Oryctolagus cuniculus: one gene and its partners. The protein of the gene in region 3 binds, or shares a complex with, the protein of the main gene of each other region. Links are inferred from orthologs where the notes say so. Each region holds a gene or a part of one and is shown on either strand. Other genes may lie near its edges. The genes, in order: UBE2J1, HERPUD1, OS9 and FAM8A1.

Region 1 (6,824 bases), on a different chromosome or scaffold from region 3:
CTGAAGAGACCCTGCAGTGGGGTTTCACTAAGAAGGCTCCCAAAGACCAACTTTGCCCACAATGGGGGATCAATTTAAGGATTTTTAGGGAGCACAGGTGACCTGAAAAGAAGAGAGTGAAGTGTGCCCCTTTCAGATGTATGTATCAGCCGTCACTATGTCCCAGCACAACCAAGCAAGTTGCTGGTTAGTTGACAGGTGAGGGACAAGAAGCCAATGAGAGGGATCTGCACAGTGCTCGATTTTACCATGTAAGTGCACGCCATGGAAACACGCAGCGCGACCGACCGCGCAGACCCAGGGGCTGGCAAGAGGCTGAGAGGGAGGCAGCAGAAGCCAGCCTGTTCTGAGCCCAGCAAACGCTGAGATGCCGCTGCTACCTGGTATTCCCAGTGGGTCACGGACCTCTTGCTAGCAGACCACTGACCTCTGAACTAACATTTCTTTTATCTTGTGTTCCAAATCAAGAGCTCAGAATGCATTTTCTCAACACAATAAAGTTATAAAATGATGACAAAATTTTCATGACATGCGAGGTCTTCATAAAGTCCTTGGGATTTTTTTTAGCCTCTACCAACTTCAGTTACAGATATGACAGAGATAATCTATAAGCAACTTTAAATGCTAATCTATGAAAATTTAAGACAACTCTGTATTATATCACAGTATACAGTAAGTTCTTATTTTAGATGCAGACATAAGGAAAAATTGGCTGTCAAATGAAAACAGGAATTGTGCCTCATAGTTAACAGATTAAAAGTCCCAGGAGTAAAAATTAAATTTGCCTTTAAAATGATTTAATAATTTTTTATATTGCCCATAATTTCAGTTACTCAAAACCACGTAAGGACTTTATGAATGCCCTCCCCACAACTATCCAAGATCCACATGGGCTATCTTATGTGGACTGCTCTAGAAGCTGAAGGACAGCTACATTGTTTGAGTTGGAAAAACACATGAACTTCTGATGCACTTTCAGAGCATCACCTATTTGAAAGCTGGGGACTGCTTACATTTAAAACTGAAATCCTCATCAAGAACTTCCAGATGCCCTCAGCGTTGCTAACTGAACACACTGGAGGCAGCATCTCCTGTGATTGTATGGGTCTCACCAGGCGTTACAATGATAAAAATATCTACGAGGGTTGGTGGAGCTGGCTGGCACAAGTTATATCTTGATTTTTCCACCAGAAATTCTTCCTTGGGCTTCGATTAGGTGGACAATTCTAAGTAAAGGTTCTCCTAATTCTGTCACGGTTACTTGAGCCCTGAGCTTTTCAACTAAAATGGTGCATGAAATATTTCCACATTATGCATATTCCTGAAATAATTAAATTTATAGTGATTTCAATGCTAGGCATATAATACATCTCAAAAGATATACAATTCAAAGCAGAACAAACATTCAAACCTTAAGATCTTCCCACTTTACTTGGAGAAGAAAAATCAAACAATTCCCTGGCTTGGACCCTTTTTTCCTTAAAGATCTTCCTTGAAGACTGTTTTCTGTCTCTAGTTTGGTGTGCACTGGGGACAGCAGGGGAACAGCATATCAAAGCCGTTACAAAGCACTTCCTCTTCAAGTAATCTCCAATAGAAAGATGTGACCTCATCTCGGTGAAGAATGGTTAGGACATAAACTCACAGAATGGGAGCTCTCGACATTTTAAGGAAGCTGCTTGAGGAGTTCTGCTCTTCCTTTTCAGCTCTTCTGCCCCGTGTCATTCTCCATAAGTAGAAACACAGCACCCAATAAATACTATTGAGTAACTGCTAGCACTCATGGGAACTTAACACCCTCTTCTAGCCCAAAATGTCACCGGGCTACACAGAAAAAAGTCCTGCATAAAAAGCAGCTGAAGCATGAGAAAAAAATTATCTCCCTGGCAAGCAGATCAGCCAGTGAGCCGAGGACCGCCGACTTCCAGCCCCGAGAACTAAGTGGGACCCGCTGCCGGACACGGTCTGAATGTCTAGCCACACTGTGATGAATTTATAAAGATCAAAAAAGGAATGAAGGGTGAATACAAAATAATCTTTTTGTAAACAATTCTGAGATATACCCAATGCAGAATGTTTAATGAAGCAGTTGAGTGAGTCACAGCTCTTAAGTCACAAAACAATATTATAACTCAAAGTCAAATATGTACTCATTGGCCAGATATATTCGTCGGAATATAAGAGCGGCCAATGCCAAAGTCAGGATGACGATCAGAACAGCCGATCCGCCGTGATCAGTGTGGTTGTCTCTGGGCTGCGGGCCTGGCGTGGCGTCTGGGGAAGCGGATGGCCTGCTCTGACTCTGCTGCTGGGCCCTGCGCTGTCGAGGGCTCATGGAGGTATTCTTAGCTGCAGGCGGGGTAGGTTGTTCAAAGGATGCTGCCGAGGGATTCTGGACTCCAAGCTAGGAAAATGCGAAGAAATTTTGTTGGAAATTGGCAAAGACAGCTTGTGTATATATTGTTGCCTACTCAAGAATACAGCAGAATCTTAAGTACCAAGTACAACTCGGGGCAAAACTACCAAGAGCGGCCTGAGACGCCCTCCTTCCTGAGGAGGAGGGAGTACTCCCACGTCATGGAGGCAGAGGAGGAGCCTGCCAGCGACAAGCACGACAAGCACGACGAGGAAGGGCTTCCCAGGCTCTCCATGCGTGGCTTTCTGCTCTCCAGCAGCGTCGGTTACACATGGAGCACTTCCCTTTTTCCAGGAGATTCGAGGGAGGAAGCAGTTTCATTTCCACTTTCAAATGGCAAAACAGTGACTCGTCTTCTTCCAACATTCTCCTACCATGTCAACATGCTTCCGACCAGAACAGCAGAGCCCAGGCAGCACCCCGAAATCACAACTCTTCCCAGCACTGCTGCTGTGAAGATTCGCTGTGGTGCTCAGACCAGGCTTACCCTTCGTCACAGTCGCTGCTGCAGGACCGGAGCACAAGTTCACAAGTGTCCTTGTCTTAGTACTGCATATTCTGTGCTGTCAGAGTTCCTTGGGAATATGCTCAGAAGTTTGGAGGCAGTCACGTGTGACTGAATGTACCCTCTATCTGGCACACTGGTTGCCTCCTCAAAGCACCAAATGACAACTGCTTTCTACCACTTCAATTTCTGGCCAGCCAATATCAAGATGTGGTATCTCTGTACAATGAAGATAATATCCAATTTGGCACTTGTGACTAAATGGGATAATGATAAAAAGTGCTTAGGATATACAGCTGTTTATTAGTATTATTCATTTGTTGCTATTAGTGTATCTTTCTGGGAGGCATCTCGTTTAGGTTCAAAAATAGTTGCAACCTCATCTAGGACAGCTTTTCAATTAATATAGTCAGGGAAACAATCCCTTAAAACATTGACTGTAGATGGCATAGCACATACACTTAAGTATTATACAGATATTACATTTTAATTAGGTTCCTATGTTTTAGATGCCTTTTGGATGGTATCACTTATTTATTTATTTATTTATTTTTTTACAGGCAGAGTGGACAGTGAGAGAGAGAGACAGAGAGAAAGGTCTTCCTTTGCCGTTGGTTCACCCTCCAATGGCCGTCGCGGCCAGCACGCTACAGCTGGCGCACCACGCTGATCCGATGGCAGGAGCCAGGAGCCAGGTACTTATCCTGGTCTCCCATGGGGTGCAGGGCCCAAGCACTTGGGCCATCCTCCACTGCACTCCCTGGCCACAGCAGAGAGCTGGCCTGGAAGAGGGGCAACCGGGACAGAATCCGGCACCCCGACCGGGACTAGAACCCGGTGTGCCGGCACCGCAAGGTGGAGGATTAGCCTAGTGAGCCGCGGCGCCGGCCTGGATGGTATCACTTATTAAGTACCTTGTCTACAATTTTTCCTACTTAAGATACTCATAATCATAGTTAAGTCCTTAGTAATATAAATCACTTTTTCTAGAATAACCAGCATCTATGAGGGAGTTTTGTTTGCTTTTTAATATAAAATGGAGTGATTTATTCAGAATCTCAATCTGATGTACCAGAAGAACATAAAACTGTCGGTATTTTCCCATAGCAAAAAATCTGCATGAAAAAGCAACAGATGGTCTGATGTTATCTTCTGTATTTAGACTCCTGGCAATCTCTCCCTTCCAGGCTAAAAAAAAATATGCAGAGCTGATCTGGGATTTGATGCGTAACACCTCAGTGAATTAATATCACACTTGCAAGTAAGGCAGTCACCCGCAGCCAAAACAAAGCTTCAGTCACTTCCCTAGTGGTCAAATTATTAATCTGAGTTTATATGTATAGCAAATTAAAAATTTAACTTATAATTGTAGATAATGTATTGTTTTTTGGTATTTTGACATAAACTGGTCTCAATTAACTGTATCTATGAAAAAGAATTCCAAGTCTTGCATAAGTTAAAATAAAAAGGAAGATACTAGCCTAATAGTAACACTGTTTGTACAGTCTAATGTAAACTTCTTAATTTCTTTACCTATTTTCCTAGTTTTTTTTTGTTTTTTTGTTGTTGTTGTTGTTGTTGTTTTTTTTTTTTTTTTTTGACAGGCAGAGTGGACAGGGAGAGAGAGAGACAGAGAGAAAGGTCTTCCTTTGCCATTGGTTCACCCTCCAATGGCCGCCGTGGCCAGCGCGCTGCGGCCGGCGCACCGCGCTGATCCGATGGCAGGAGCCAGGAGCCAGGTGCTTTTCCTGGTCTCCCATGGGGTGCAGGGCCCAAGCACTTGGGCCATCCTCCACTGCACTCCCTGGCCACAGCAGAGAGCTGGCCTGGAAGAGGGGCAACCGGGACAGAATCCAGCGCCCCGACCGGGACTAGAACCCGGTGTGCCGGCGCCGCTAGGTGGAGGATTAGCCTAGTGAGCCGCGGCGCCGGCCCCTATTTTCCTAGTATTTTTAATGCAGATTTTTTAAAAGATTTATTTATTTATTTGAGAGGCAGAGTTACAGAGAGGCAGAGGCAGAGAGAGAGAGAGAAGCCTTCCATCCGCTGGCTCACTCCCCAAGTGGCTGCAAAGGCCAGAGCTAAGCAGATCTGAAGCCATGAGCTTCTTTCAGGTCTCCCACACGGGTGCAGGGACCCAAGGACTTGGGCCATCTTCTACTGCTTCCCAGGCCATAGCAGAGAGCGAGATTGGAAGTGGAGCAGCCAGGACTCGAACTGGCGCTCATACGGGATGCCAGCACTGAAGGCAGCGGCTTTACTCACTATGCCACAGAGCTGGCCCCTTAATGCAATTTTTAAAAAAGATTTATTTTATTTATTTGAAAGGCAGAGTGACATAGAGAGATCTTCTATCTACTGGCTCACTCCCCAAATGGCTGAAACAGCCAAGGCTGGGCCAGGCCAAAGCCAGGAGCCTGAAACTCCATCCTGGTCTCCCATGTGGGCAGCAGGAACCTGAGGTTTTTGGGCCATCTGCTGCTGCTGCTGCTTTCCCAGACACATTAGCAGGAGCTGGACTGGAAGCAGGGCAGCCAGAACCTAACCCGGTACCCTGATATGGGATGACCCGATATGGGATGCTGGCATCAGAGGAAGCAGCTTAACCTGCTGCACAACAGCAGCCCTTTTCTTAGCATTTTTTAAAAGTACCAAAACAATCAAACGACAAATACATACTGACTGCTTACTATATGCAAGGCACTATGCAAGATACTTGGGATACGGCAGGGAAGTGGAAAGTAAACCAGGACGCCCGGAGAGCTTACATTCTGGGACATGAGACAGACTATGAACGATTACAACGAAAACTGCAACTGGACTAGGTATAACCAGAATATATAACAAGAGGACCTGACACAGATTTAAAATACATAAAAGATTTACTATATCACAAGTACCTGTGCTAATAGCTGAAACAAGATAACCACCTTCTTTCTAACAGAATTGTGCTATTTTAAAAAAACATAAAATAGTAAAAATGATTAGAATACTGGAGACGAAAAGTAATCCAGAAGTTTTAATATTTCAAGCTCAAACATTCTAACTTTTTTTTTTTTTTTTTTTTTTTTTTTTTGACAGGCAGAGTGGACAGTGAGAGAGAGAGACAGAGAGAGAAAGGTCTTCCTTTGCCGTTGGATCACCCTCCAATGGCCGCCGCTGCAGCCGGCGCACCGCGCTGATCCGATGGCAGGAGCCAGGATCCAGGTGCTTTTCCTGGTCTCCCATGGGGTGCAGGGCCCAAGCACCTGGGCCATCCTCCACTGCACTCCCTGGCCATAGCAGAGAGCTGGCCTGGAAGAGGGGCAACCGGGACAGAATCCGGCGCCCCAACCGGGACTAGAACCCGGTGTGCCGGCGCCGCAAGGTGGAGGATTAGCCTATTGAGCCACGGCGCCGGCTCTAAACATTCTAACTTTATAATTAACTCATTATGTCCCTCTACGATTCATACGATGACACTGGGATCATGTAAACATGGTTTACTCTCGCCCACCTACACGTTTTTCTCACGCCTCCATCTGTTATCTCCGGGCCTTCTGCTCCCCCACCACGCCTAGCTCCCTGTGTCCACAGGAGAAACCACTCAAGACCACTGAGCGCACTCTTTAGTAAGGGACACCCCCACAAAAGACAGGCTGTATTGGCCCAGCACCTGGTTAATTTACTTGCCCCTTAAAGTAATCTATAAACTGAAGAAAGGATTTAAAAAAAATAAAAGATGTGCCTACATAACCAATGGTACCAAAAGACAGTTAATTTTTTACAGAGAAAAAGAACAGTCATTGTTTTTCACCATAGTCCTAATTATTAGCACTGATCCAGTAATATCTTTTAATCAGTCTTTCCGACCACCTGGGCCCACCACTTATTTTTTAACAGGTCAGGGTACAACTGACACCA
Region 2 (6,824 bases), on a different chromosome or scaffold from region 3:
CTTAGTGAAGAAATTCTAACACTCCTTATCCATAAATGTATTTTCTAAGAGAAACTACATGGTAAATTTCACGTGGAATTAAACATGAAGGCCACTACAAAATTAGGGTGTAGCAGCAAATTGAGTTTCACAAAACTTTAAAGATATCACCAATTGGAAAGACCTTTCTAAATGATGTCATTCGCAATGTATCACACAAACAGCCTGCATCAGTTCACAGACGCGGCAGCAGCTGTCAATCACAGTCCATCCCACCCACAGAACCAGACGGAGCAGGGCTCTGCAGAAACAGATGAAAAGCCACTCCTCCCTTCATTCTGAACTTCACAGGTATCATGCATGGGGTCACCCACAATCCCCAGAGTCACGACCACATGCAGTCTAGTGGGAAGGACTCACTATTGCATGTAGTACTGCCGGGCGTAGATCTGCTGGAACCAGGACAGCTGCAACCACCCATATGTCGTGTAGCCAGAGAAACCAGGCCCCAGGCCTTGGAACGCCTGCTGGACAGCTTCAGGCCTGAATGCAGATTTAAAACAAAACCAAAAAACAACTCACTGGTTGAATATGAATAAATGAAAACTAAGTTTATTCCCAGGAATTCCAATCAGACAGCCAAATGAACGGGCTTCCTGGTGGCCATGTGGCAGATGGCTGTGTTAATGCAACACAGAGAGTGCCGAGGGGCAGAGCCCTCTACAGGTTCTAGAGCCCCCAGGAAAACCAGCTCCCTCGCCCAGCACTAGGCGCCCATCATGTCACCAACAGGGGGCGGCTGCTCGTCTTGTGCACGGAAGTACCAACAAGCTGACCCTTCTCTGGCAAGGTAGAGCCCCACTCACTGGCTGAGTCTCACTGCAGATCTAAACCCACTGTGCACCCTTCAGAGAGCAGCTCAAAAGCCACATTTCTCCCAAAGTCTTTCCGGAAGTACTTCTGTCTTCCTGGGAGATGTGTCCTGGGGCAGTTTCCTGTGCAGGGGACATCACTTGTGCTTGCTTACTGACCACCTAGCAGCCTGCCCAGGTCACTGGATCCCCAGTAACCATGTGGGGAAGGACTGCACTCCCATTTTACAGAAGGGAGCCCAAGCACAGCTCAGAGAATACAAGGGATTTTCACAAGGTCGCTGAGCTAGTAGCAGGCCTGGATTTGAGACTTATTTTGTTTGACGTCAAACTCATGCTTTTCCAATCGTGTAACACAGCTCCAGCTGCTTAGGGCAGGGGAGGTGGGACTCTCTTCTTTGGCCTTGTGCTTCCTACACAGTGAACTCCCTCCCTTTCACAAACTGAAACTATAACAGAATTGCAGGAAAATCAGGAGCATGTTACGTGTTCATTCCTGCTGGTCAACTTGTATCTGTAAGCAAAGGTATATGCACTGCCTATTCAATAAACATATTTTAAATGAAATCAACAAGTCTAAATATGGTAAAATTCAAGCAATCAGATAAGCTTCAATTCTCATGCTAAACAGCCAGAATGAGAGAGGCCACTTTAAATCGTCTATCCAACAAGGTATCCAGTTTATATGCTGACAGTCTTTTACTGAACCCCATATCCAGAGAATTTCTAAAACAGAAGGTCTTAGTTTGACACTTTTTGATCATTAAAAAAGTTCTAATGCATGAAAATTAGATGAGGTCCTTTTCAAAATTTTGTAAGATCTAATCATGATGGCATTGCAAATATGTAAGGAAACTAAATGGTTCTTTTTATAGATAACAAGGTTTATTTAAGAATAATCTTTTATGTATGCTGAACTTACATACATATAAAACTCAACTAACGCCAGCAATTTTTCTTTTCTCCTGCTAAATTTTTTTAAGGTGAACAACATTCATGCATTTCACATATACAGATTTAGGGATACAGTGATACTTCCCACCCAACTAAATGTTTCGTACAGCTATTTACTGAAGTATATAGGGACAGAATGACAGGATGTCCAGGAATTACTTCTAATGCATGAAGAAAAAAAGGGAAAGGAGCAACACTGGGGCCTGGGTGATGGTTATGTGGGGTCCTTATGTAATTCCCTCTACTTTTGTATATTCCAAATTCTCATTAAGAAAAAAAAGCCATGGGGACAGCACTGTGGCGCAGTGGGTTAACGCCCTGGCCTGAAGCGCCAGCATCCCATATGGGCACTGGTTCGAGACCGCCTGCTCCACTTTTAATCCAGCTCTCTGCTATGGCCTGGGGAAGCAGTAGAAGATGGCCCAAGTCCTCGGGCCCCTGTACCCACGTGGGAGACCTGGAGGAAGCTCCTGGCTTTGGATAGGCACAGCTCTGGCCGTTGCAGCCAATTGGAGAGTGAACAAATGGATGGAAGACCTCTCTCTCTCTCTCTGCCTCTCCTCTCTCTGTGCAACTCTGACTTTCAAAAAAATAAATAAATCTTAAAGGAAAAAAAGTCCGATTCCTCAAACATCTGCCTTTATCAAAAACTGAGGATAAAAACTACTAGGAAGAGGAGGTGGGAGAACTAGAGAATTAAAGAATTTTAACTTGTAGTCAACAATATTATTTTTCCCACAGGTACTTTATGAGGTATTCCAACAGCTGTCAAATCTAAACCTCAGAGCGGCCAGTCACTTCTGATCTCTGCTCTACAGCAAAGCTCTAATTGTTCTAAAAATATGGGGGCCGACAATGATAAGACCGTCACCCGTGTGGGAGGCCAGGGTGGAGTTCCAGGCTCCTGGCCAGTCCTGACCACTGCAGCCACTTGGGGAATGAGCCAGCAGATGGAAGATCTCTCTTCCTCTCTCTCTCTGTGCCTTTCAAATAAATAAATCTTTTAAAAAATAGTAATAACCTCTTTTCTAAGCATCCTGGCAGGACGCTTCTCAGCGCCTTCACCGTTGCCCTCGTTGTTACGATACACAAAGCGCAGGGCTCTCAGCAAGCAGCCGCACAGTGTTCTATCCCAAGGGCAACACCAGGAAACACACCCATGACGGCGAGGAAAATGCCTACGCTCTCTGGACAGGCATGTCCTGCCTTTTCAGATGTTCCCTAAATGGCTGTGTACAAAGAAAAGCTAAATAAGGTATCTTTAAAATGAAATCCTCTGCAAGGCCAAATTTTGTTCTCTGACCACACAGGTGCAAACACATCTTATTCTTCAATGAGAACACTCACCTGGAGATGTTCTCCCAGCTGGAGGGAGAAAGGTTCCGAAGAACTTCCCTTTGCCTTAGGCCATCACTTGCGGAATCCCCAGGATGCTGGCCCTGATTAGGACCAGGGGGCTGCTCTGTGGACTCAGCAACCTGCGTAAGTAAGGTGCTGGTCAGAACAAAGGCCGTGATGCAACCATCCTGCAATCACTCTGCTGTGAATGGCCCCGCCCCCACCTCTAAACCAGACAAAATTAAACAGGCAATGTCATGTAAAAAATATTCCGAAATTCATTCAACCCAATTTTAAATACATGGATCCTTAAAAATCCATACTTTCTTTCCCCAGAGTAATTACACTGCAGTTTCACTAAAGCCTTCCAATGAGGTTATCACTGCTGAGAAAACTTCCTGATGAGTTAGTAAGTTCAGCATCATAAGATGTAACTTAAGACACTAAATTTGACTAGGATTTATAAATACAATGCAGCCAGAAAATGAAAGGAAAGAGAATTTCCTATACTCTATTCATAAATTTTAAAAATAGTTGTAATACAAACTTAAGAGTACATGATTAGAATATCGATACTGTATATTCCGATAAACATTGTGAAATGAAAAACAAACACTTCTATCAAATAAAAATAAATCTTCACAGATCACGTGACAAAGACTGTGGCCTTTTTCTATCCAAATAAATAGTCACAATGAGAATTTCCAAAGGAAATATACTCAGATTTTTATTCTTTATAGTACTAACGATTCCCTAGAAGAAACTTGTGGGCACAATTTTTACCACCTTCATTTCAAGTGCCTTGCTGATTCAGTGATCTGGACACACAGTACCCAGAGGTCGGGTCACACTCCTGACTCCCACACTTCCACCTCGGCTCTGGCCCACTCTCCAGCACATGCTCTAAAATCTCTCTTAAAAGTGTTCTCCAAGTTCCTGCATTTCTCCCTTCAGAGTTGAAAACAAATTGTTGCAATCAGAGAAAGCCGACCTACCTTTGTGCTGGCTTCAGGCATTTTTGAAGGACTCTTCACGTTGCACACCAGGTGCAAAACATGCCGTTTCTCCTGCTAAAAATCATGAGGAGGTACTTTAGGACTGCGCTCAGGCTGCTGGCGCCTAAAAGCATTCCAAAGTTACAGTGTAAGGGACGCACCTTTGGAAGCAAGTCCCTGAGACACTGGTGATCCAGCAACAGCTTCCCAGAATAAATCAACCTCTGGTCCTCTGGACGCTGAGCGTGGAGAGAAAAGGGGTCAGAGGTCAGCATTTAGCTCCTGCACCGCTCCAGCACAGAGTCAACTGTTTCATACCATGACCCCAGTGTGCACACTTCCCCCAGCCTCACAGGAAAACACCTTGCAAAGGCCCCACATTCACAACTTTTATTCAGAAAGTGCTTAAATTTAAACTGATCTCAAATATGCAAATAAATTTAGGATGACAAATTATCTGCAGCCCACGAAACCCAAGGCAGCACACTTGACATCCTACCTACCAGGGAAATGGGTTTGCACCACGAAAACCAGAAATTTTATTTGGGGCTCCTATAGCAACTAACTTCAAAACTAGGCTTGGTCTCAGAGAGAACTCAGAGTACTCCCAAGGTCAGCCTTCGTCAAAACCACCTACCATCGCCCCAACACAACAGGAAGCAATGCTAAGCACAAGCCCCTCACAGAAGATTTCTCCATTACAGAGATGCTGTGTGGGTAACATGACATACCACACCTTGTGGGACCTCCTGCCCCTACTTTAGGGGGCAAAGTCTGAGAAACTGGCCCAGGTCACCACTGCTAAAGAGTCAACGGTCCAACCCTCTCTTCTCTACGCCAGTGAATCTACAGCTGTGGGGACTCCACACGCTTCATACACCTCACTTTAAAAAAAATTTTTTTTTTTTGACAGGCAGAGTGGACAGTGAGAGAGAGAGACAGAGAGAAAGGTCTTCCTTTGCCGTTGGTTCACCCTCCAATGGCCGCCGCGGCCTGCTCATCGCACTGATCCGAAGGCAGGAGCCAGGTGCTTCTCCTGGTCTCCCATGGGGTGCAGGGGCCAAGGACTTGGGCCATCCTCCACTGCACTCCCTGGCCACAGCAGAGAGCTGGCCTGGAAGAGGGGCAACCGGGACAGAATCCGGCACCCCAACCGGGACTAGAACCTGGTGTGCTGGCACCGCAAGGCGGAGGATTAGCCTATTGAGCCGCGGCGCCAGTCTAAAATTTTTAACTCCATTTAAATTATACTTAAAAACAATGGCCTCAAATAACACAGCAGTCAGTACACTGGAGGTCTCCAACTCCTCCACCTACTCTTGCCAGAATAATGCAAGATTTTGAATGAAGCTGTTCTTGTTCAAAAGCCTAGAATTATAAAGCAAGCTGCTTAAAATCACACCGGAAAAAATAGCACCTTCTTATCTACGTGCATCAGGACTTCTTTTAACAAAGAAATCTGATGGACGCTGTGTTCATCATTGTTCTGGCTGATGTCAGAGGCAAATGCTATATATGTGCATTTGTAAACTACTACTGTATTATGTGGAGCCTTGCATTTTATTTAAGAGTTCAACCGTGGCGCCAGCGCTGTGGCATAGTGAGTAAAGCCACCACCTGCAGTGCTGGCATCCCATATGGGCGCCGGTTTGAGTCCCAGCTTCTCCACATCCGATCCAGTTCTCTGCTATGGGAAAGCAGCAGAAGATGGCCCAAGTCTTTGGGCCCCTGCACCTGTGTGGGAGACTCAGAAGGGCTCCTGGCTCCAGATCAGCGCAGCTCCGGCCGTTACGGCCAATTCAGGAGTGAACCAGCGGTGGAAGACCTCTCTCTCTTTCTCTACCTCTTCTTCTCTCTGTGTAACTCTTTTTTTTTTTTTTTTAATGTATTTATTTGAAAGAGTTCAACCACTAGAGAAGATGTCAAAACTACAGCTGCTTGTGGATTTGAATTGTTCCCCACCCCTTTTTCGAGGCCTGAATCAACAAAAAAGAAAAAGAACTGACTTAAGGGGCCTGTGACACTGGCATCCCATATGAGCACTGGTTCCAGTCCCAGCTGCTCCACTTCCCATCCAGCTCCCTGCTAAAGCACCTAGAAAAAGCAGTGGAAGATGGCCCAAGTGCTTGAGCCCCCGACACCCAGGGGAGACCCGGATGAAGCTCCTGGCTTTGGCCTGGCCCAGCCCAGGCTGTGGGGGCCAACTGGGGAGTGAAGCAGCAGATGGAAGATCTTTGTTTCTTCCCCCTTCTCTCTATAACTTTTTCAAACAGTATTAAAAAAATAAAATAAAAGCTAACAAAAAAGTTAAATGTTAACTATTCTAAAGTCGGAAGTCTCACATTATACCATTTTATACTACAGAAAACAAATGCTGAGCATGCTCCAGCAGTAATTTGTAAATACCAATGTGTTCACATGACAGATCTTTCTGAGGTCGTCACACTCAGGGGAGTGATGCTCCGCACCTGCCCCTCGCCTATCTGTGCACCTCGAGGCCACCTCATTTCCTGGAAGCAGCTCCCAAGAAATTGGAGAGGCAAGCGGTGAATTGCAAAGGCCACGGGAACGGGAGGTGACGGGATACACAGGCCAAAAAACCACAGGTCCGAGGGGCAGTCCACGTCCACGTTCCCAACCAGGAAGGAAAAGGCGCCGAGGACACGCGCGCTCCCACGGGTCGGCC
Region 3 (7,440 bases):
AGCCAGAACCCAGGCAGGACTGGAACCCAGGCTTGTGGGCACCCAGCACTGTCATAAACGCTGCGCCAGACGCCCGTCCCGCCTTCGGAACTCCGCAGGTGTTTTCTGCCGTCCCTAACCACTAGTGTTAGGTCGATGAGCCTCCTCCAGCTCTGGTGTTTGACCCGCCATGTGACTTGTCCTTTTTCCCTGGCAGCCCTGAGTTGTGTCTGTGTCCGGGGCTCTGGAAGCAGTGGCGATGCCTCCTGCTTTGTTCTGGGCGCAGATCCTGCTCTTTCCCTTCGCAGGCTCAGCTCTTCAGCGCAGGGAAACACTGCTGAGTGACTTCCTGAGCAACTTCTCTCCTTCTGAGTCTCCGCTCTCTTTCTGAAGTTATCAGTTTTCAGATGTTCGACCCTCTGGACTGATTCTCTAATTTTCATCAATTTTCTCCTGAAGTCAAGCCAATTTGATCTTCAACCTTCTCCAATTTTTCTAATGAATTTTTATTTCACCTATCATGGTTTTGATTTCTAAGAGGCCCTTTTGCTTATCTGAATAGCAATTACTTTATTTAAAAAAAAAAGATTTACTGGGGCCAGCACTGTGGCATAGTGGGTTGAACCACCACCTGCAGTGCCAGCATCCTATATGGGTGCCGGGTCAAGTCCCAGCTGCTGCACTTCTGACCAGCTCCCTGCTAATGGCCTGGGAAAGCACTGGAAGATGGCCCAAGTGCTTCCAAGTGGGCCCTGCACCCACGTGGGAGACCCAGAAAAAGCTCCTCGCTCTTGGCTTCTGTCTGGCTCAGCTCCGTCCTTTGTGGCCATTTGAAATGGGGAGAGACAGAGAAACAGAGACAGAGAGAGAGAATCTTCCATCCCTGGTTTTCTTCCCAAACAGATGCAACAGCCAGATCTAGTCCAGGCATAAGCCAGGAGCCAGAGACTCCATCTGGGTCTCCTGCGTGGGTGTCAGGGCTGCGGGTTACTTGTGCCATCTCCACTGCCTTCCCAGGTGCATTAGCATGAAGCTGAATGGGAAGCGGAGCAGCCTTCTACCTGCCAGCCTGGCAAGAGGTGTCTTGATCCTCTGCACCAGCGACTCTGCCCAGTGGGGCCTTTTAAAACAGCTTCCAGGGGCTAGTAGGTTAACCTCTGCCTGTGGCGCCAGCATCCCATATGGGCGCCGGTTCAAGTCCTGGCTGCTCCACATCCAATCCAACTCCCTGTTAATGTGCCTGGGAAAGCAGCGGAAGATGGCTCAAGTCCTTGGGACCCTGCACCCATGTGGGAGACCTGGAAGAAGCTCCTGACTCCTGGCTCAGATTGGCCCAGATCCAGCCATTTGCAGCATTTGAGGAATGAACCAGCAGATGAAAGACTTCTCTCTCTCTTTCTCTCTCTCTGTAATGCTGCTTCTCAGATAAATAAATCTTTTTTTTTTTTTTTTTTTTTGACAGGCAGAGTGGACAGTGAGAGAGAGAGACAGAGAGAAAGGTCTTCCTTTGCCGTTGGTTCACCCTCCAATCGCTGGTGCACCGCACTGATCCAATGGCAGGAGCCAGGTACTTATCCTGGTCTCCCACGGGGTGCAGGGCCCAGGCACTTGGGCCATCCTCCACTGCACTCCCTGGCCACAGCAGAGAGCTGGCCTGGAAGAGGGGCAACCGGGACAGAATCCGGCACCCCGACCGGGACTAGAACCCGGTGTGCCGGCACCACGGAGGATTAGCCTAGTGAGCCGTGGCGCCGGCCAGATAAATAAATCTTTAAAAAACCAGCTTCCATTGTCATTTTATGGATACACTGTTTCACCTTTCTGAGGCTACAGATGGTGGGGTTTTTAAATTTTAAAATATTTGTCTTATTTTTGCCCTCCCCTAATCTTTATTACCTTTAATTTGCTTTTTTTTCTCTTTGCTTGCTTGGTTTTGTTTCTCTCTTGTATCTTTAAAGTCCTTCCTTGAACGTCTAAGGACACTGCCTGGCTGTGTTAAGAGCGAGGAGGTCAACAAGCAGATTGGAGTCAGCTCAGGGCTGGGGCTTGCCTGTGGGATTGTGTGCCTCACTGCGACAGCTTCTCTTTGGGATTTTCCTTTTGTGCTGGAGAAATTCCCCAGAGAACGTTTTCCAGCGGCACCATGCTCATGTTTACCTTTGTTTAGGGGCCGATTTTCTCATTCTGCTAAGCCGGTTGCCGTTCCTCTGCCGGCTTTCCAGCTTCGCAGACGTTGCATCTGCCTCCTTTCCTTCTTTGTTCTTTGGTGTGTGTTTATTTTTTCTTTTACAATAATACGTGCATTAGCACCTTACTCCGTCTTTCACTGACAGCTCCCGTGATTCCTTTAGGATCATTTTATTGGAGAACAACTGCAGGATCGTGCAGAAAGTCTGACACAAATTACCTGATTGCCCTGAAGTAGTGTATATATGAAATGAGGTATGATTCTAATAATCGCTTGTTTCGCAAAAAGTGTTCATTAACTTCCACGGGTATCGCACACACCTATCCGTCAGCCCCAGTACTCCGCTCTGCGCGGGGCGGGACACTTTGCATGAAACGTCTAAAAAATACGCTAAGCAGAGATGCGCGGGACAGCTGGCCGAGGAGAGCGAAAAGCTGCCAAAAAGCGCCCAGGGCAAGACCACGCCTCTATGGAATTGGGGGAATAAGGGGTGGGGGTCTAATCTCGTCGTTGATTGGTTGGCATCTCTGGCCAATCACGCGCAGTGATTGATTGTGCCAATCGTCGTGGTCCACCTCCCCGGGAACTTTGGAGCCACGTTTACAAATGGGAATCAGGTACGTGAGAGGGACAGAACGTGTAGCCAATGAGAACTTGCGGCGCTAGTGGGAGGGGTGAGGCCGCTGCCAGGTTTAGGGCGGAAGGAGCTTCTCTGGTTAAGAAGGGGAACGAAAGATGGCGGCGGAAACGCTGCTGTCCAGCCTATTGGGGCTGCTGCTTCTGGGGCTGTTGTTACCTGCAAGTCTGACCGGCGGTGTTGGGAGCTTGAACCTGGAGGAGCTGAGTGAAATGCGTTATGGAATCGAGATCCTGCCATTGCCAGTCTTGGGAGGGCAGGTGAGAAGGCGTGTGAGGGGTGAGGGTCCGAGGTAGAAGAGGAAGGAGGAGAGAAGGTAGAGAAAGAAAGGCAGGTGCGGAGGCTGGGGGGAGCCTAAGGGGATCGGGAAGAGTAGGTAGGGCTGTTACAGTGACTCCTGGTGATCGCAGCCTGAGACCCATTCCCTGGGGCCCGGGGCCTGGGGGGAGAGGAGTTCCAGCTGTCAGCCTGCAGGTCGGGGTTCACGGTGCAACACCCAGTCTCCGCCTCCGTGGAGAAGTGGGAGTGCCCCCCAGACCACGGAGGCCTTTTGGCTCCTTCTGTAGCCGCCTGGGCTCCTCCCCAGGGTCCGCAGAGGGATCCGGGTGTTTTCTATAATCGCAGCCTCTCTTTGCGTCGGAGCCCCCGACCTTCCCTTCTTTCCCAGAACCAAGCTTCGGACGTGGTGATCGTCTCCTCCAAGTACAAACAGCGCTACGAGTGTCGCCTGCCCGCTGGAGCTATCCACTTCCAGCGGGAGAGGGAGGAGGAGACACCCGCGTACCAAGGGCCTGGGATCCCGGAGCTGCTGAGCCCCATGAGAGATGCTCCCTGCCTGCTCAAGGTGAGACGGCCTGTGGGGACGGAGCGCGGGCTTGGGAACCGGCAGCCGCTCTGACAGCTGCGGTGCCAACGAGTGCGAGCGGGACCTGGGGAACCTGTAGGAGCTTAGAAGGCCGGGAGTGGTCACCTGTGGGCGTGTAACACAGCCAGGAAAGAAGCAGACTCCTGCAACCTGAGACACGGGACGGCCGATCTCAGACTAGGAGGTGTCACTGTGGCACAGGAGGGGCGGCTCCTCGGGGAAGCCTACCTCCTGCAGTCAGCCCCTTCTGTCACTCGTCACAGTATCCCACTTTTTTTTTTTTTTTATTATAATGGCACTTTTCAGGAGATGAATATTAACTGAATGAGTTTGTTTATTTTTGGTCTGACTCCCAAGCTCTAGAATGTGGCTCCATGAGGTCATTTGGTCTTGCTCATGGCTGCCTTCCGGGTGCTTAGCATAGTGCCAGGAGTGCTAGTTGACTTGCTCTGAGTGCTTCAAGGATAACACGATTCCTTATCTTTATGGAAGGCAAAGGATTAAAAACAAAATCTGGAAGAAAACAAAAAAGGTGGGAGATCCCAGGCAGAGAACAGAGTTTGGGGTTCTCTGTGTCACAGAAGGAAAACAGCTCTTCCTTCTCAGTGAGGGGCTGGAGAATTGAGCGTGGAGGTGGAGGGAGATGAGAAGTAGACAAGAGGTTATGTGTCTTGGAGCCCAGGGCTGGTTCCGAGAAGAGACATCTGCATCTGGGCCCACCCATTCTTCGTTTTGTAATTGGCAGACCAAAGACTGGTGGACGTACGAGTTCTGTTATGGACGCCACATCCAGCAGTACCACATGGAAGGTGACTCGCTCGTCCGTTTCCCCTGTGTGGAAGGTGGCCGCCTCCCCAGCCCTCCTCCCGCTGCCTCCTCTTAGAAGACAGTAACTGCTTCCCTGTGGCTTCTCTTGCAGATTCAGAGATCAAAGGTGAAGTCCTGTATCTCGGCTACTACCAATCGGCCTTCGACTGGGATGACGAAACAGCCAAGGTGGCGGGAGCCTGGGCCTGGAGGAGAAAGGGCTTTGGGCTGCAGGATGAAAGATCTGGAGAGAAGGGGAGGGTCAGGTTCACCGACGACTTTCTAGGGCCTTGCTGGCCACTAGGACCCAGTGCCCTAGGGCCAGGGTTCTGAGGTCTCAAGGTCCCAGCAGGGACGGGGTGCCATCCTTTCTCTTTGCCGTCTTTCTCACACCCTCTCCCTGCGGCCCGATGTCTTCTCCAGGCCTCCAAGCAGCATCGCCTGAAACGCTACCACAGCCAGACCTATGGCAACGGGTCCAAGTGCGACCTCAATGGGAGGCCCCGGGAGGCTGAGGTTCGGGTGAGTCTTAACTCCCTCAGTGACAGCTCCCCTTCTAGAGGAGGAGGGCAGGCTGGCCTGGGACAGTGAGGTGGGGCTCTCCCAGGCCCTAAACCCGAAGGGGTAAGCCGCCTGTTTCAGTGCCGGCTATCCACATGCCCTTCAGGCCAGTAGTTCCCAGATCTTCCGTCTGTGCCCCAACCACGTCCTTGCACCCCCCCACATTTGTCCTTCCTGTCACCTGACTCCTGCTCCACGTTGAGCCCCCTGTCGTCATTAACCAACTCCTCAGTGGGGTCTTGCCATGTTTGTGGGCCACGTGGGAATGCAGTGGTGAGTGTGCAGCCCCTGTCCTCGTGAGATATGCAGTCTGAATTGCAGAAGTGAATCTGAGATTACAAAGAAGTAAGATGAAGGAAAGGAGTCTAATTCTCTCAGCATGAATAACACAGCCCATTCATTCTAGGCGTATCTTAAAACTCACCTTTTGTTTTCTGTGGTTGGTACCTGTATTGCAGCCAACGGCCTCTTTTTTTTTTTTTTAAGATTTATTTATTTGAAAGTCAGAGTTACACAGAGAAGCAGAGGCAGAGAGAGAGCGAGGTCTTCCCTTGCTGGTTCACTCCCCAACTGGCCACAATGGCCGGAGCTGCACCGATCCAAAGCCAGAAGCCAGGAGCTTTTTCTAGGTCTCCCACATGGGTGCAGGGGCCCAAGGACTTGGTCCATCTTCTACTACTTTCCCAGGCCGTAACAGGGAGCTGGCTTGGAAGTGGAGCAGCCGGGATTCGAACTGGCGTCTATATGGGATGCCGGCACTGCAGGTGGTAGCTTTACCCGCTACACCACAGCGCTGGCCCCAACCAATGGCCTCTGAACAAATGCCCCTCAGCATGCCGACGTGTGGTGGGCAGAGAGCCTCAGGAGATTCTGATGCATTCACAAGCACACACACCTGCCACATGCCACCCACCAGCCTTACCTTCTGTCGCTCCCCCTCTTCGTGGAGGAACGACACAGGACCCTGCGCTGTTCTTTTGTCTGCTCGGCCCTCCCCGGGTTTGCTGCTGGTTCTTCCCGGGTTGGCTACCGTCCCTTCCACCTCCGTGGAAGGGCGGTTCCCCCTGCCACTTTCCCCACTTCCGCGGGAGAGCGGCACACCGCCGGCCGGCTCTCTCAGGGGCTGCACAGGTGTTCCCTCAGATAGATGTTCCCCGTAGATGTTCCTGGTGCATGTTGTCTCTCTCCTCCTTTATAGTCCTCCTCCGCCAATCCCAACTCTGCTACCCACACGCCGAGTACGCTGCTCTCCTCCAATCAGGAGCAGGTCCTGCTGTTTATTGGTTGAACTGGAGGCAGCTGTGTAGAAGCTGTTTCTCCCTTCTCAGCGCCATATTGTGGGAGAGCAGATGCATAGAATAAGTCTTAATTCCAGTAACTTAGTCTAGTCCGAGTTGCTCCCCACACCTTCCCATAACACAGATTTGTATGTGCAGTGTGTGCTAGTAAGTGTTGACCGCCCAGATCCCTGGGCAGGGTAGGTGTGCTGGAGGAGGAGTCCTGATTGTAACATTTGCCAATATCTGTGGTCCAAATACTCCAGTCATGCCCACATCAGGATGTCTGCTGTCTTGCAACATTTCCCCAGATTTATCAGTTGTCTCTTGTGAGCTGATTCGTGAGCTGGCTCCAGTCTGCCGCTGTAACCACAGATCACTTCTCTCCCAGCGCTGGAAAACCGTCGCTGATTTTGCTGTGCTTCAGCACTGACCTGAATAGTAGCAGCAGAGAGGGTGAGAAATAGGCAGATTCTGTCTCTGTTTTGAAGGTAGAGCCGAGAAGATTTATTGACGTATGGGATGTGGCAGAGAGGAAAGGGTGACCCCAGAGGTTTCCGTGTGAGCTGTTGGAACCACAGCATCGTCATCTCCTGACGTGTGAAGGAGCAGGTTTGGGGGAGGCAGTTCAGTTGGTTTTTGACATACGCAGGTCAAGGTACCTATCAGACATCCCCGCAGCATGTGCGGTTGGCATTTAGCTCTGTGGGTCTGGAATTCAGGGCGAGATCTAGGCTGGAGATAAAAATACTCATCGTGTTTCTGCCACACTGGCCGCCTTCTGTCCTTTGAACCAGTGACTCTCATTGTTCCCTCTGCCTGGGATAGTCCTCCCCCAGACCTTTGAAAGTCTGGCTCCTCCCTCGTTTGGGTTACATTCTAAGGGCACTGCCACACAGGGCCACCTGACATACACATGCATGTGCTTCTCCTCCTGAACTGGTGAGCGTGGACAGTGTCTTCTAGTCTTCAGAGTGCGAATCATTGCCTGAAATTACCCTATTTGTTAAAATTCAGTATCTGTTTCTGTCTACCACTGGTAGAATAAGCTCCAGGAAGGTAGGGCCTGTGTCTGTCTTGTTTTCTTCGGTATCTTCAGCGCCTGGAATGGTGCCTGGTACCAAGT
Region 4 (7,383 bases), on a different chromosome or scaffold from region 3:
GATATGACCAGGTGTACATCCCTGAGTAAAGCTCTTCAACAGCTTCTGCTCTCTGTGGGTTGAAGTCCAAACTCCCTCATGGAGGACAAAAGCACTCTGACTCCTCCCTCCTTTTCCTGGCTTATCTCCATGCCAGCCAGCCAAGGCCCTAAGTGTCAGCTATTTCTGTGAACTTTGCTCAGGTTGCAGCCTTTCCCTGCAATCACAGTCCCTCCTGTGTCTCCATCACGAATGTTGCTAAGACTTAGCTCATGACCACCTCCAGTGTGTCACCTCAAAGCTGTTCCCTAGTCTCAGGCCTGTCTCCTAACAGATGGATGGACCCCTGTGGTGGAATGAGGTGAAAAGGTCCTATCAAGATGGCCGCTGACAACAGAAACTGCCTGGCAACAGGCCGTGATTGGATGGCTTTGGAAACTGACAACAGGCTGTGATTAGTTGGGGCATAGACTGCCCCTTGACCGGATTGGCTGGTCTTGACTATATAAGCTGTTGTACTAACTGAAATAAACCAGTCTGTGGGCTGCTTGCCTCCAGCCCACTTTCACCCGACTCCTGGGGTCTGTGTGGTGACTCCATGCCTCTTGCCCCCACCATGCTCCTCCTCTCAGAAACAAATGCACCGCAACATTGTTGAGAAATCAACTGCAACAGACCACTCCCTCCTTGGGGTTCACACTTTACCAGACACTTACTCACCGCCAAGCTCCCCCATCCGTTCTGTGAGCTTCTCAACTACAAAGACTACATCTCACTCGCCTTTGTATCCCCATCATCTAGCATAGCAACCAGCGCAGACAGTGCTCAGTAAATGAGGAAAGAAATGGAGTTGTGGCTAGAGGGAGGTGGAGAGGTCTACTCTCTTGAGGTGCTCACGGGGAGCAACCACCAACACTCTTGGGTTAGAACCAGTGAAAGCCATCTAGGGATGCAGCGAGAGTGACTCTCAGCCTTAGGTGCACAAATTGCCTGGGGGAGTACAGATGCTCAACTCACAATGGGGTTATGTTCCCAAGAAGACCACCGTAAGTTGAATGTCATAAACAGAAAAAGCATTGTGTGCACCAGACCTCCTGTACATCCTGGCTCAGCAACAGAGCACTGCAGTGGTTTTCCTTGATAACTATGGGGCTAACTAGCAGCTGCCCAGCATCTCCTGGGTTGGACCACCCAGTGGTAGCCAGGGAAAGATCCAAGTTCAACAACTATGTTTTCCAATATGGTTTCTATTGAATGCAGATCACATAAGGAATGCTTTCAGGAGCAATGCTGATGGTACCGCTTGATCAACTCAGACCTAAGAGAGTTTCAAGATTTTATTTTTATTTATTTGAGAGGTAGATTTACAGAGAGACAGAGGCAGAGAGAAAGAGAGGCCTCCCACCTACTGGTTCACTTTCCAAATGGCCCCAACAGCCAGAGCTGGGCCAATCTGAAGCCAGGAGCTTCTTCGGGTCTCCCACGTGGGTGCAGGTGCCCGAGGACTTGAGCTATCCTCTATTGCTTTCCCAGGCCACAGAATAGAGCTGGATTGGAAGTGGAACAGCTGGGACTTGAACCAGAGCCCCTATGGGAAGCCAGCACTGCAGGCAGCAGCTTTACCTGCCAAGCCACAGCGCTGGCCCCACGATCTTATTTTAAAGGCAGAGTTTAGAGAAAAAGTGTGAGATCTTCCATCTGCTGGTTCGCTCCCCAAATAGCTACAACAGCCTGAAGCCAGGAGCCAGGAGGTTCTTCTAGGTTTCCCACAAGGGTGCTGGCACCCCCAGGTGCATCAGCAAGGAGCTGGATGGGAAGTGGAGCAGTTAGGCCTTGAACCTGGGCCTTAAGGGATGCAGGCATCACAGGTGGTGGCTTCACCTGCTAAGCCACAACGCCAGCCCAATACTCAGTCTTAATAGTTTTTCAAGTGTTGTGTCCAAGTCTCTATCCAGCTCATTAGCTTCTTAGACGTTAAGCCTTTTAGATGCCCCTGAGCAGTCAAAAATTATTCTGGGCATCATCAGTAAATACTCCATGGGCTCTTGGCCCCTGTTGGCCCTGATTCTGGCCAAAGTTATACTACTACGACTGAGGGAACTAATCCAGTTAAGGACATGGGAAAGCATATTAAAATACTAGTCTGTGGGAACAGCGCTGTGGCGTAGCAGGTAAAGCCACTGCCTGCAGTGCCAGCATCCCATATGGGCTCGGGTTCGAGACCTGGCTGCTCCATTTCCCATCCAACTCTCTGCTATGGCCTGGGAAACAGAAGATGGCCCAAGCCCTTGGGCCCCTGCACCCACGTGGGAGACACGAAAGAAGCTGCTGGGTCCTGGCTTCGGATTGGTGCAGCTCTGGCCATTGCAGCCAGGTGGGAAGTGGACCATCGGATGAAAGACCTCTCTCTCTCTGCCTCTCCTTCTCTGTAACTGATTTTCAATAAATAAATCTTTTTTAAAAGGCTCCCAAACCCTGGATATAATCAGGGGTTCTTTCCCCAACAGGAAAACAGGCTTAAGGAAAGGTTCCGCTCTGCGGCAGCGGGAAAGTTTTTATGGACACAGGCTCGCTAGCTCCAGCATCAGGACCAAGACCAGCTTCTAAATCAGCAATCTCTCTTCCCGTCGCATCCCAAAACAAGTCCCAGTTCAGTTTGGCTGTCGATGTGTTTCTCCCAAGTGCACAGACATTCTCGAGCACAAATGGCGAACCACGCTCTCGGCTCGGCGAGGGCAATGGCGGCGCTGGCCCCGGGCCCGTCCCGGAAATCCCCCTCCATCCAGCCGAAGTTTCTCACGGGACATCCGGCGCCAACCCCCCGGGATTCTCTAGAGAGGCCTCAGGCCTTAGACATCACTCGATTAACCATAAAGAGGCGTGGGGAGCCGGACTGCCGACGGGACAGGAACCCAAAAACCCCACACCAGACACAACAGCCCAACCTCCCGGCCTCCGGCGGCCCCGCGCAGCGATCAGCGACGCCCCCCGAGGGGCGGGGTTTCCGCTTCCGGTGGCGGATTGTTGACGCCTGCGGCTGCTGCGGTGGCGAAAGGGCCGTTGGGGAGGGGCCTCTGAGGGGAGGGAGACGGCGCAGTGACAGGTACCGCGAAGGGTGCTGCCGAGGCGACGATGGCAGAAGGGCCCGAGGAAGCCCGAGGTCGCCCTCCCGGGCAGGACGATGGCGGAGGGGACCACGCGCCTGTCCCTTCCCTGAGAGGCCCTCCCGCAGCCGCCGGCCCTTGTCCCCGAGACGCGGCGCCAGTCGAACCCCAGGCCCCGGGCCGGCCGCCAGCCCCGGCCCTCGCGCCCGCCTCCGCCGCTGCCCCGGAGGAGTCGGAGCCGCAGCGGGAGCTCAGGAGGCGAAGAGAGGCGGCCCCGAGCTCCGGCGCGGGGCTGCAGGAGCCGGCGGGCTGCGAGGCGGCCGAGGCCGAGGCGCTGCGGGAGAAGCCGGCGCGGCTGAGCGCCCGCGAGTACTCGCGGCAGGTGCACGAGTGGCTGTGGCAGTCCTACTGCGGCTACCTCACCTGGCACAGCGGCCTGGCCGCCTTCCCCGCCTACTGCAGCCCCCCGCCGCCCGCTCCCAGCTACGCTACGGCCGCCGCCGCCCCCCAGGCCGCGGCGCCGCCGCCCCCGCAGCTGGCCTATTACAACCCCTTTTACTTCCCGAGCGCCGGCGCCGCGGGAGCGGAGGCGGGGGCGGCTGCGGGCATCAGCACCCCGGCCCCGGTGGCGGGCCTGGGGCCGCGGGCTCCTCACGTGCAGGGCTCGGTCCGGGCCGCTCCAGCGACTCGTGCGGGATCCGCCGCGCCTTCGCGCGCCGCCAGCGAGAGCGGGCGGCAGGCAGGTGAGCAGCGCGAGGCGCGGGGGGTATCCCGAGGGGGTCTTCGGGGAGGCTGCCTGCAGGGTTTGCGCCCCCGTGGGGACGGCCGCGGCTCCCGGGAGTGTGCCCGGGCCTTACACCCCAGTGCCGTCCACCTTGAGAGCAGATCGAGGGCCTCGCGCCCGGGTCGATTCCCACGGGGAGGAATCTGCCCTGGAGAGCGAGGTGGAGAGTTAGACCCACTTGTGCAGAGACTTGACTGGCAATGCTGGAGTGCGCTGCCTAGGGGCTGTGGGCCTGACCGATCCGGAGGATTTACATGAATGCAAATGGAGTTCCCAAGTGTTGGCTGGCCCCTGCTTACTGCTTTCGGAGCCTCCTTGTTAACTTCTGCTTGGGAACTAGAAATGGCTTTAGTTAGCTACGCTTGTTAGAGTTTGTATTCAGCCACCGATATGTGGACCGAGAACCAGTTGGTGCCTGTATATGAGCCTGAATCAGAATTGAGGATGACAGGTTGATGACCCGCGGATTTATTTTCTAGAAAGTAAAACAATGACTGAGGGGAGGGAAATGTGAGATACCGGGATTTACTCTACACAGTATTTATTTATGCTGTACTTTATACCGTGGGTGTTTATACTATAGTTTACTCGAGTTTTACCTTTTTCTCTTAAAGTTTAATTGAGTGTCGCCTAGGTGTGATCACCTGGATTCTCCTAATTTGAGTCCTGCTGAAATGTTTTGGGTACTTGAATCAAACACAGCTGTGAAATCAATCTTTGAACATTAGAGTGATGAAAATAAATTTTAAGCAGTTTATTAAACACAGTGCAGTGGTATCGCTGTATTTTAGTAATACATACTCTTGTTGGGATCAGTATGACTAACTGATGCAAGGTTGTGAATATTCATAATTACTAGGTTGTACCTTGACTTTGCTTTCTCCATTCTTACTTGCCTTGTGCACTAAAGCCTTTGTGAAATGATCATTTTTTCATAATTTTCTTTTTTTTAACTTACAGGCAGGGAGTATGTTATTCCATCCTTGGCCCACAGATTTATGGCGGAGATGGTGGATTTCTTTATTCTGTTCTTTATAAAAGCAACCATTGTCTTAAGCATTATGCACCTCAGTGGAATAAAGTAAGTTAAGCACCTTTGTAGAAGAGTTTGAATTTCTACTGTTTAGAAATTATTGAGTTCTCTTCATGCCTGCAAGTGACTATAAGGATAATGTCATGATTTCTTTCTAAAAGCTCTGTCGGATTTATTTCCTACTGGACCTAAGAAATAACTACAAAGGAGAAAAAAACTCCTCATACATTCTGTAAGATCTGTGAGAATTTCACCCATCAAAAGTAGGTAAAATGATCCTCCAATCCTGGTTTGTTTTCATTCAACTATTCTTGGGCCAGGAAGCAATTTCTCTCTTATTATTCTGTAGAGAGAGTCTCTAACGACAGAAATATAAAGAGCTTTTGGTGGGTGAACTCCTAATTATCAACTAGATGTATTTCCAAATGGCATTGCTTACCATGAGCCCAGTCCCAAGAGAACTGCAAAGTGAGACATTTATTTGAATAACCCTCTCCTGAGATTAAAATAATCATAACAGCAGTTCTCATTTGCTAAGCACTTTCTGTATGCTAGGCACTTAGCTCGCGTCTTTATATGGCGTCTTATTTCATCTTAGTACCACTATGAGGTAGAGGCTAATACCTCCATTTTATAGAGATTGAAATTTGAGTATATGAGAACCTAGGCCCAGAATTTTAAAGGTTACAGAAGTACTAAGTGACCATGTCAAGATACAAACATGTGGTCAATTTTTTTTTTTAGATTTTTTTATTTATTTGAATGATAGAATTACAGAGAGGAGAGAGAGAGAGGAAGGTCTTCCATCAGCTGGTTCACTCCACAAATGGCCACAGTGGCTGGAGCTGTGCCAATCCGAAGCCAGGAGCCAGGAGTGTCTTCTGGGTCTCCCATGTGGGTGCAGGGGCACAAGCACTTGGGCCATCTTCTGCTGCTTTGCCAGGCCATGGCAGAGAGCTGGATCGGAAGAGGAGCAGCGGGGACTCAAACTGGCGCCCATATGAGTTGCCATCGCTGCAGGTGGAGGCTTAGCCTATGACACTGCAGCACCGGCCCCACATGTAGTCAGATTCTAAAACCCCTTGCCAGGAAGCTAGTGTTTCTGCTAGTCCTTCCTGCCCCCTCCCTCTCCTGTGCCTCTATACATCTGATCAAATTCCAGCTCCTTTATGTTCCTTCTCCTGAATGGCTTTCCACCCAGACCATTTCCTCCTCACTTTTCATCAGATCATTTTTCATCATCACTGCTTCTTCCTGGTCCTATTACTGTCATCCTTGAGTTGATTATGGAAAAGTCTTTTTTTTTTTTTTTAAATTATTTATTTATTTGAAAGGCAGTTAACAGGCAGAGGCAGAGGGAGATCTTCCATCCACTGGTTCACTCCACAAATGGCTGCAACGGCCGGAGCTAGGCCTATCTGAAGCCAGGACCCAGGAGTTTCTTCCAGGTTTCCCACGTGGGTGCAGGGGCCCAAGGACTTGGGCCATTTTCCCCTGCTTTCCCAGGACATAGCAGGGAGCTGGATCAGAAATGGAGCAGCCAGGTCTCAAACTGGTACCCATATGGGATGCTGGCAGGGCACTGCAGGCAGCAGCCCCTGATTATAGTAAAAGTCCATCTCTGTCCTTTTTCTGATATAAAGCCAAGTGATTATAAATCCTGATTCTTTTTTAAAAAATATTTATTTATTTATTTATTTGAAAGGCAGAATTACAGAGAGAAGGAGAGGTGTCTGCTGGTTCACTCCCCAAATGGCTGCAACAGCCAAAGCTGGCCCATGCAGATCCAGGAGCCTAAGCTTTATCCAGACCTGCAGCGTGGGTGGCAGGAGCCCAAGGACTTGGGCCATCTTCCGCTGCCTTCCCAGGCACATTAGCCAGGAACTGGATCAGAAGTGGAGCAACTGGGGGCTGGCGCTGTGGCGTGGCAGATGTAAACCTTGGCCTGCTCCCTGCTAATGCACTTGGGAAAGCAGTGGTGGATGGTCCAAGACCTTGGGCCCCTGCACCAGCGTGTGAGACCCATAAGAATCTTGGTGAGTGAACCAGTGGATGGAAGACTTCTCTCTCTCTTTGTCTCTACCTTTCTTTGTAACTGTCTTTCAAATAAATAAATCTAAAAAGAAAAAAGTGGAGCAACTGAGACTAGAACGAGCGCCCATATGGGATGCCAGTGCTACAGGCAGCAGCTTAACCAGCTGCGCCACAGCACTGGGCCCTAAATCCTGATTCTTAATTATTGTCATCTCTCATACCTAACAGTGGAGCTGTACCAAACTGCTTATAGCGTCCATCCCACACTCTCTCCCTCTAGAACTTTCTTCACTCATGTCTGTTCATCCTTCAGCTGCTGGCTTATGGGGCATTCCTGGGAAGCTTCATTAGGTTCAAGTGTATCTGGTGTGGTTTGCACAGTGTTGTGTGGTTCCATCACAGCTCTCATCCCACTGTGATACTGCTACTTTTTATTGTTCTGTTTTCCT

The links.
Region 1: OS9 (region 3) and UBE2J1 share a complex: the UniProt entries of both Homo sapiens proteins name them as parts of the HRD1 complex. The link is inferred for Oryctolagus cuniculus from reciprocal best matches to the Homo sapiens genes OS9 and UBE2J1.
Region 2: OS9 (region 3) and HERPUD1 share a complex: the UniProt entries of both Homo sapiens proteins name them as parts of the HRD1 complex. The link is inferred for Oryctolagus cuniculus from reciprocal best matches to the Homo sapiens genes OS9 and HERPUD1.
Region 4: OS9 (region 3) and FAM8A1 share a complex: the UniProt entries of both Homo sapiens proteins name them as parts of the HRD1 complex. The link is inferred for Oryctolagus cuniculus from reciprocal best matches to the Homo sapiens genes OS9 and FAM8A1.

The regions. Positions count from the first base shown.
Region 1 is NC_091436.1:83,190,216-83,197,039, reverse strand, and holds part of UBE2J1 (ubiquitin-conjugating enzyme E2 J1), read right to left. Parts: intron 2,405-6,824; coding exon 2,126-2,404; 3' UTR 1-2,125. UniProt on the Homo sapiens protein: Catalyzes the covalent attachment of ubiquitin to other proteins. Functions in the selective degradation of misfolded membrane proteins from the endoplasmic reticulum (ERAD) and is essential for cells to recover from ER stress.
Region 2 is NC_091449.1:40,588,003-40,594,826, reverse strand, and holds part of HERPUD1 (homocysteine-responsive endoplasmic reticulum-resident ubiquitin-like domain member 1 protein), read right to left. Parts: intron 4,378-6,824; coding exon 4,300-4,377; intron 4,214-4,299; coding exon 4,139-4,213; intron 3,284-4,138; coding exon 3,153-3,283; intron 523-3,152; coding exon 400-522; intron 1-399. UniProt on the Homo sapiens protein: Component of the endoplasmic reticulum quality control (ERQC) system also called ER-associated degradation (ERAD) involved in ubiquitin-dependent degradation of misfolded endoplasmic reticulum proteins.
Region 3 is NC_091442.1:60,273,088-60,280,527, forward strand, and holds the start of OS9 (protein OS-9), read left to right. Parts: upstream 1-2,839; 5' UTR 2,840-2,902; coding exon 2,903-3,064; intron 3,065-3,471; coding exon 3,472-3,648; intron 3,649-4,414; coding exon 4,415-4,478; intron 4,479-4,588; coding exon 4,589-4,665; intron 4,666-4,899; coding exon 4,900-4,998; intron 4,999-7,440. UniProt on the Homo sapiens protein: Lectin component of the HRD1 complex, which functions in endoplasmic reticulum (ER) quality control and ER-associated degradation (ERAD).
Region 4 is NC_091436.1:144,839,192-144,846,574, forward strand, and holds the start of FAM8A1 (protein FAM8A1), read left to right. Parts: upstream 1-2,993; 5' UTR 2,994-3,111; coding exon 3,112-3,826; intron 3,827-4,827; coding exon 4,828-4,948; intron 4,949-7,383. UniProt on the Homo sapiens protein: Plays a role in the assembly of the HRD1 complex, a complex involved in the ubiquitin-proteasome-dependent process of ER-associated degradation (ERAD).